Caenorhabditis elegans: one gene and its partner. The protein of the gene in region 1 purifies or fractionates together with the protein of each later gene. This does not show direct contact. Each region holds a gene or a part of one and is shown on either strand. Other genes may lie near its edges.

What was found.
Region 2: the proteins of tbce-1 (region 1) and tbcb-1 fractionate together in Caenorhabditis elegans (co-fractionation; one large-scale study listed by BioGRID). This does not show direct contact.

Annotation. Positions count from the first base shown.
Region 1 is NC_003282.8:8,292,764-8,298,032, forward strand, and holds tbce-1 (Tubulin-specific chaperone E), read left to right. Parts: upstream 1-1,926; coding exon 1,927-2,093; intron 2,094-2,356; coding exon 2,357-2,840; intron 2,841-2,922; coding exon 2,923-3,334; intron 3,335-3,384; coding exon 3,385-3,638; intron 3,639-4,267; coding exon 4,268-4,432; 3' UTR 4,433-4,520; downstream 4,521-5,269. Other genes in the region: K07H8.2 (SLC41A/MgtE integral membrane domain-containing protein), read left to right, coding at 2-116, 168-344, 398-1,282, 1,336-1,518; nprl-3 (GATOR complex protein NPRL3), read left to right, coding at 4,730-4,773, 4,864-4,943, 4,988-5,063, 5,118-5,269.
Region 2 is NC_003283.11:13,590,275-13,593,828, reverse strand, and holds tbcb-1 (Tubulin-specific chaperone B), read right to left. Parts: upstream 1,706-3,554; 5' UTR 1,697-1,705; coding exon 1,601-1,696; intron 1,540-1,600; coding exon 1,195-1,539; intron 1,151-1,194; coding exon 996-1,150; intron 945-995; coding exon 851-944; 3' UTR 646-850; downstream 1-645. Other genes in the region: F53F4.4 (DUF19 domain-containing protein), read right to left, coding at 354-402; F53F4.18 (DUF4342 domain-containing protein), read right to left, coding at 3,082-3,184, 3,435-3,554. UniProt on the Caenorhabditis elegans protein: Binds to alpha-tubulin folding intermediates after their interaction with cytosolic chaperonin in the pathway leading from newly synthesized tubulin to properly folded heterodimer.

The DNA of each region.
Region 1 (5,269 bases):
GTTTTCGTTTCAGGAACGAAAATTCTTCACTAAAATCGAGGACGTACGACCATTCAAACGATCTTGTGAACATGTCGGTGATTCCTGCCGAATCGAGTTATGTACTCTTTTTCCAAGTAAGTTTTTCAGGTATTTTACAAAAGAAATTATGAACTTGCTGTTTTCAGGTTCTCTTTCCGTTTGCCGTCGCTGGTCTTGGAATGGTATTTGCTGGATTGGTTCTCTCAATAGTAGTCACATGGCCTTTGTTCGAAGAAATCCCTGAAATTCTGATTCTAGTTCCAGCACTGCTTGGGCTTAAAGGAAATCTGGAAATGACACTAGCCAGTCGACTCTCAACACTTGTGAGTTTACACTTGAGAATATTCAATTTTATAATTTTCTATCAATTTTTCAGGCTAACCTTGGTCATATGGATTCTTCAAAACAACGAAAAGATGTAGTCATCGCCAACTTGGCACTTGTGCAAGTTCAGGCTACTGTCGTCGCTTTCCTCGCTTCTGCTTTTGCCGCTGCTCTCGCTTTCATTCCTTCTGGGGATTTCGATTGGGCTCATGGTGCATTGATGTGTGCAAGCAGCCTAGCTACAGCATGTAGTGCATCCCTCGTACTATCACTGTTAATGGTGGTTGTCATTGTGACATCTCGAAAATACAACATCAATCCCGATAATGTGGCCACACCAATTGCTGCATCACTTGGAGATCTGACGACACTCACTGTACTGGCTTTCTTCGGATCCGTGTTCCTCAAAGCTCATAATACTGAATCTTGGCTCAATGTTATCGTGATTGTATTATTCCTTCTTCTCCTTCCTTTCTGGATAAAAATTGCCAACGAGAATGAAGGAACACAGGAGACTCTCTACAATGGATGGACACCAGTCATCATGTCAATGCTTATCAGTAGTGCTGGAGGATTTATATTAGAAACCGCAGTCCGAAGATATCATAGCTTGAGTACATACGGTCCAGTATTGAATGGTGTTGGAGGGAATTTGGCTGCTGTTCAAGCCAGCAGACTCTCTACTTATTTCCATAAAGCCGGCACAGTTGGAGTTCTTCCGAATGAATGGACTGTCAGTCGATTTACCAGTGTTCAGCGTGCATTCTTCTCAAAAGAATGGGATTCTCGATCGGCTCGAGTTCTTTTGTTACTCGTTGTTCCTGGTCATATTTGCTTCAATTTCCTTATCCAGTTATTCACTTTGACTTCAAAGAATAATGTGACACCCCATGGACCACTTTTCACCAGTCTTTATATGATTGCGGCAATCATTCAGGTAAGGTTTTATCGAAAATTTAAAATATATAATCAAAATTTCAAAAATTGCAGGTTGTCATACTTCTATTCGTTTGTCAACTTCTCGTCGCTCTTCTTTGGAAATGGAAAATTGACCCAGATAATTCTGTGATTCCATATCTTACAGCTCTTGGAGATCTCCTAGGAACCGGACTCCTATTCATAGTATTCCTCACTACTGACCATTTTGATCCAAAGGAACTCACTTCGTCATAATTTTAAAACGTTCAAACTTTTACCACATTGTATAACTGCATCCCCGTTATTATAGATTGGTTCTCATCCCCCATCTGCATGTAAAACAGTATTTCGCTAACCTAATTTTTCATTTTCACAACTAACGCACTTTCATCAGAACTCTAGTCAAACCCGATGAGTTGATTGATATCCATTTGCCGTCAAGCGCATAATTTTCTGTACATTGTGATCCATTTTTCTCTCTAGCTATTTTTGGTCATATCTAATAGACATTTTGCATTTTCCGCTAGTCACTATGTATTTTTTGGGAATAAATAAGTTAATTTGAACTTTTAAATTTAATTAATTTTTATCTCTGGACATCTTATTCCGCGAGTGGTCCAATAATTTTGACAAGATGGGCCAAGAAAAAAAACAATTTTCCAGATGGAAATAGGACAACGAGTTCGAATAAATTTCGAAGTAGCAACAGTTCGATATATTGGAGAAGTCGATGGATACGGTAGTCAACGATGGGTTGGATTGGAGTGGGATGATCCGACACGTGGAAAACATGATGGAATTGTGAGAGGAAAACGATACTTTCAGACGAGGTTAACAGACATTTTCATCAGAAATATATTCTATAGACATTTCTCATTCGAAACTGTCGGAAATGAATTCCAAATTGGGACAAAAAATGGAAGTGATCTCCGCTGTACACATTTTCATAGTTTTATGGCGGTCTCCATGAACTTTTAAATATACAGTGTCGGGGGATTATTTACCGTATTTAACACTCCAATTACTTTCCCTTAAAAATTCGTCACTAAATAATACAAACTAGTCACAAAAGTGTGAACTTTCAAATTTTCAGACATCCAAATGGAGGATCATTGATGAAGCATGAAATAGTACCGAAACCAACTGATCTATTGTTTGAAATCAAAGACAGATACATCGAGGAAGAGAGCGTCGAAACTGAAATTGAATTGGCGCAATCCAATAAGAAGATCGAGTTGATCGGAATGGATCAAACGGCTGCAAAACAAAGCAATATCGAGAAACTTATAAATATTGTTCTTGATAATCGATCAGTCGGCTTCCCACCTTCCTCGGATTCTCCCCAATTTATACTTTGTCGTGAACTTAATCTTTATGGAAATCTACTGTACAAATGGAAAACAGTTCGTCAGATTCTTGAATATTTTCCTAGAATTCAAGAACTCAACTTACGAAGGAATCGCATGCAATGCTTCAATGAAGAAGAAGATGATGATGAATCAGAAGGAGATGATCATGTTTATTCGGATAGTTGTAAGAAATTGGTCATTAGTGAATGCAATTTATCTGAGAATTCGGTAGGTTAAAGATTAAAGGTTAAAGGAATACCAATGAAATATTAAAAAAAAAGTGTCTAGAATTGCTATTTTTATTTTTCAGATCGACTCGATTCTTCTCCGGTTCCCCTCTACATCAGATGTCGTGGCGTTTGGTAATGATCTCACAAGATTCTCAGTTTCTGAAGCTGTTTCATCTCGTCTTACATCCCTCGATCTCGAAGATAATCCATTCAAAACACTAGATTCCATTCACGGAACTTTTCCGAATTTGACACAACTTTCTGTGGCGAATTGTGGAATTACGAGCTTAAACGGATTCGATGGTTCGATAAAATTCCCGAAACTCGAATATCTGAACATAAAAAGAAATTCAATTGTTGAATGGAAAAGTGTAAATTCCATTAGATCTCTTAAAAGTTTGAAACGGTTATTGTTCGATTGCAAAAAATTATCAACTGAAAAGGGTGTCCATGCCTATGAGATTGTAATTGCCAAGTTGAGCACTTTAATAGGTTGGTTTCAAAAATATTAAAAATTATTTAAAGTAGATGTTTTTTTCTAGATCTCAATAGGTTTGATGTGTCAGAAGTAGAACGAAGGTCTGCAGAAATTCGATTTCTGAACAAATATGCCGGTCTAAATGATAACGAAGATCATCAAGACGATATCAAAAGACTGATTGAAATTCATGGAGAACCGACACTTGATACAGCAAAAAAGGGCCTTGCGGTGGTGAAAATTAGAATTGAATGTGGAAATCGAGTGGAGACACGAAGGCTTCCATTGGGAATGAGCATACAGAAAATTAGAGATATGGTAGGCAAATGAACAATCATTATTATTTGAATCAAGAAGACATGCATGTACTTTTGAAAATGCAAAGAATTTAATTTAAAAATGTATTATCTTGATTCGATTATTTTGGGGACGCAGAAACGCGCTCCACTTCCAATTGAAAACGTAACGAGCAATGGGTCTCGCTAGGTATTTGACAGAAAACTGTAAAATCAAACGTTTCTAGTTTGTTTTGCCGATTTCGCTAATTTTAAAGATTTTTTGTTATGTTTTCCGTTGTTTCCAAAGATTTTTATGCCGAAAGTAATGAAATAAAAATTTGAGACAAAATAGAAAAAATCATTAGCATTTCATTTTTAAACATCTCTTCGACATAAAAATCATTAAAGAATGAAAAACGAACCAAAAAAAGACGAAAAATGTTTAAAAATAGGCGAAATCAGTAAAACTAATTGAAACATTTTAATTTACGGTTTTGTCGCCTAATACCTAACGAGACCCATAGTTTGTGGGCGGAGCATTTAAAATTAACCGTTGAGCGTGTTTTCAGATCAATGTCTAAAGTGTTTTTTTCTGCGTCCCCATATAGAGGCTAGTTTCATCAAAAAATAGAGGCTAAATACTTCCATCAAAAATTTTATTTTTTCCAGCTCGCTCGTCTCTTCAAAGTCCCCAATACATCGAAAATCCGTCTATACCTCGTTATGAGTGAAAAAGCCAAACAACACCGAATTGAACTAGAAAATCCGTTAAGAGAATTTGGACACTATTCACCTTCAGAAGATCGAGATATTCTTGTTGTGGAACATGATTGAATTGTTACCGGAAGATTATTTATTGCACAACTTATTGTTTGTTACAAAATATATGAGCTTTAACTTGCATAAAATTCCTTAATTTCTTATCAGCGAAAATGTCCGTTAAAAATACTATCCGTTATGTATCGATTTCAATACTATTTACAATTATTCCGATTATGGAATAAAATCAATCAGTGAAAATTTCACTTTTGAAAATTTCGTCATATGCATGGGTCTCGCAACTATTGTTGGTTTTTTTTGTACTGTGATCTACTATTGCATACCAGAAAATCTTTTTTGAATTTTTGAAGAATGTCAGCGAAAGAAGTGGATTTCGAGAGAGAAAGTCATCTTCAGTGAGTTTTTAAATTACTGAAAATCAATAGTTATTTGTGATCTTGTTGAATAAAGTTCAATTTATCATAAAAATAATTTTGAATTTTCAGTGCTGTGATGTGTTTTCTCACTGGACAAAGCGGCGAAAAGATTGTATCTATTTATCCACATCGAAAACCAGCTACCAAAGGTAATCTGAACAATATAAAATCTCAAAAAAAAAAACATTTTCAGCTCCATCGAAAGATCCACAACCTTCCAGCTCTAATCCAGGACAATGTGTGAAGCCAGTTCTTACAAGTGTCAAAGAGTTCGTTTAAATCCGAATATTTAAATTTAAATATTCAAACGTTCAAAATTTCAGTCCAAGTTATGGTTTCGGACGTGTGGATACAGAATTCGACATGTCTCTCGGAATGCTTGCTTATGTGTTCAAAACTCAAGAAATTGCGTGTAACGATGGGTTCGATATGAAGATCAATAATCAAAGATTCGTTGCATATCCGAAGACATGGA
Region 2 (3,554 bases), on another chromosome or scaffold:
TCCCACTCCACACCTGTTAACAATTTTCGCCATTTTTCTGTATGATTTTCTTTTTTTTTAGATGCGTTAATTAGTTTTTTTCATAAATGACATAAATGACAGTTTTCCGAAAAAAAAACCTTAAAAAATCGACGAAATTTGCGAAAAGCTAGGAGTACTGTATTTCACGGATTACTGTAGTTTTTCATTTAAAAAGCTTGGGTCGTGTCGAGACCGGGTCCCGTAATTGTTTGTTTTAACAATTGTGATTTTTACAGTGCGAATTGACTCTTAATGCATTTTTTAATAAAAAGATTTACAAAAAAGATTCCCTCGCCGGTTGAGCTTCCAAAATTTCAAAAACGATAGCTTACCTTCTGCGGCTAACACATTGAGAAAAATAAAAAAAAATAAAATCAGCATGATAATTTCTGTTGTTAGCTTATTGTGCGCTTTCCCCCAAAAACGGAAAGTGATCCTTGTTTCCTCTCGAGACCCTAAGAGGACCGCCCGTTTTGTATACCAGTTTCTTCGTTCCCTCAACAACTTCTAAGCTTCATGTCCTCCACCCCTCTGGTCACATCACTCGACTGTGTTCCCCTGACTTGTTGAGAGAGAGAGTAAGAGCGGATGCGAACGAATCATGTTGTCGATTACTAGTCGGGTGTCACATATCGTTTACTTATCACATACAAAATAGATAGAAGCGCAAAGAGATCGCCGATAGAAACAATATCTCGGAAGAAAATGGGAAAATGCAAAGTGAAAGCGGGTATAATCATGAAAAATTGTTATGAAAGTATGTATTCATAGTTATATAATGAATGAGAGAAGGCAGAAGCAGGGAGCAATAAATATTTGGCAATGTTACTTAGATTTCATCAATTGAGAGCTCTGGGAAATCACCAACTTTCACATCGACTGGTCGAACAAATCCTCCGTATTTGGGATCACAATCGAAATATCTGAAATGAAAGTGTTCGGATAAAAATTATTCAAAATTATGGCTGAGTTACCTGACACCAGCAACGGATCCATCATTCTTTCCAACTGGCTCATCGTATTTAACTCCAACCCAAACACCTTCCTTAAACTTTGTAGCTCCTACGTATGCGACTTCTCCTCTCCGGGCCATTTGTGCTCCAACAGTAACTTCGCATCGGTTTCCAACCTTTAAATTAAATTCATTTTTCCTTTTTGGAACAGCGCTCTTACCATTATATTTTTCGCGGCTTCTTCATTCAATTTATCGCTTTCATTTTCCATTGGAGCAGCACTACCTTGTTCTTCTTGCATCTTTTTCTTCCATGCACGAACGCTGTCTGTTCTCTTTCCATATGTGTCATCACTCATTTCATATTTTTCAACCATACTTTCGTCCTTGAAATCTTCGTTTCCACCAGTCACATCAACGGCGTGAATTCGGTAACCGTCGCGAACACCCAAATCTTTCAAACTTTTAGCCCCGTCTGTCAGCTCTCCTTTCAGTTGATCATCTCCATCAAACAATTGAATGCGCATTGAATCGACCGTAGTTCCAACTACAAGTTCGAGTTTCTTCTGAAAAGTTTTCGATTAAATAGTATTTTTAAAGAAAACATTATTTTTACAATATACTTACTTTCAAATCATTCAACGACATGCCAGCCGGATATTTCTTTTCCATCGGAAAATCTGTTGCATTTGTAGTGATTTCAAGGTCGTAAACTTCTGTCATTTTTCAGTTCTGCAAGAAGAAAATTTGTGAAAAAAGGGTCGTTTCCAAGGAGAATGTTCTGAGAGAGCTTAAGAATAGCTTCAAGAAGAATGAGCGGTCATGCATTGTAAATGTGTTCCGGAAGAGCAAGAAAGACGGGCGGTGCAATTAAAACGATAAATAGGCAACACCTGCTTCCAATGGTTTCAAATTGTAAGAGAGCATGTAAATTCAGTCAATTCATTGCGAAATTCGGAATTAAATTGGATGAGCTAGCGAAACGGCAGCTGAAGACTACTTATTGCAATCGAATTTTTTATCGAGAAATCTGAAAGGTTTTACTATAAAAATAACAGTAAAAATATCATTGAAGTCTTTAGGAAACTAAGAAATTAGACAAGAATTAATAAAAAATAAATGCATCTGACTTGGCCGAGAGGAGTACACAGGCTGTGCAACGGAGCGCGCTTACCACCCTTTCATTTTATTTGAAAAAAATGCAGGTCTAGAAATACGAAGCATATGTGAGAATTCAGTAAAACAATTTCATGATACTTCATCAATTTTCTGGAAATCAGTAAAAATCCAGAGAGTCTAATTGTGATACAATTCTTGTGAGAGGATGTCACATTTCTCAAAAAAATATCAGGGAGAAAAATATAAAGTGAAACAATCAAGATTCGTATCAATTTTTGCAACTTTATAACACTGACTCAATAATCAGCAATATTTGAAGTGTTCCTTACAAAATGTGAAAAATACTTGAATGCATGAGAGAGTGGATAACTTTTTGGGAATACTTTGAATACCTATTTTTAATGAAGCCACAACTTTTCGATCAAAACTAGATTTGCAAAAACATGTTAAACTAAAGGAACAAAACGTGAAGTGTGATCAATCGGATTATATTCGAACAGTACATTAGGGCTGTGCGGCTGATGACTCGGCTGAACGAGCAAATCAACGTTTTTCAACGTATTAGCAATGATCAATTAGGGAATACTTGTATTTGCCATATCGGCTGAGTCTTGAGCTTCTAATTCTAGAAAAAAGTTTTTAAAAAAGTGAACACCCCTTCCAGAAAAACTCGTTTTTCCAATCAGCCGACAGCCGACAGCCGAGTTACTCGGCTGATTCAAAAAGCCGACTGTTTTGTCAAGGTGTGTGCACTTTAAAAAAACTTTTTTCTAGAATAAGAAGCTCATGACTCAGCCAATACTGCAAATACAAATATTCTTTAATTGATCAGTGCTAACACGTTGAAAAACTTGATTATCTCCATCAGCCGAGTCATCAGCCGCACAGCCCTACAGTACATGGATATGTCTACTCGCAGAGAACACAATTTGCTGATAAGAACAAAACTAAATTGATTTATTGATACATTTAAATATGTCATAAGTTCATTAAGAGCCATAGTAGACGGCTGCAATAGCAATGAGGACTTGGATGAACAGAAGAAGAGAAGCACCGAATGCAATGATTGGGAAGAACACGTGAAGAACAGCTCTGAAATTTTACAGTTAATCTGCAAAATACGACTTCCAAATTAAATATTCAATGTGGCACTATTCATTAAAAAATTCGGAACTCGGTCTCGAAACGGTCGCAAATTTTCACTTTGTAAACTGCGAAAAAGAGTATGTACCTTTCAGGGTTACGGTAGTGTTTATTACATCATGTACCTTGAAGGTTTCGTTCCAATTCAATATGAATTTAATGATAAGTCTTCAATTTTAATTAAACTTTCCTAACTTACCCATGATCCGTAATCACCATTGTTCTTCTAACTCTAATTGTATTTGGAGTTTTCTTTTCTTCCTTCTTCCCTTTGGTATCTCCAATTGTTGTATGTTCCGGATTGATATTTTCATTGAGA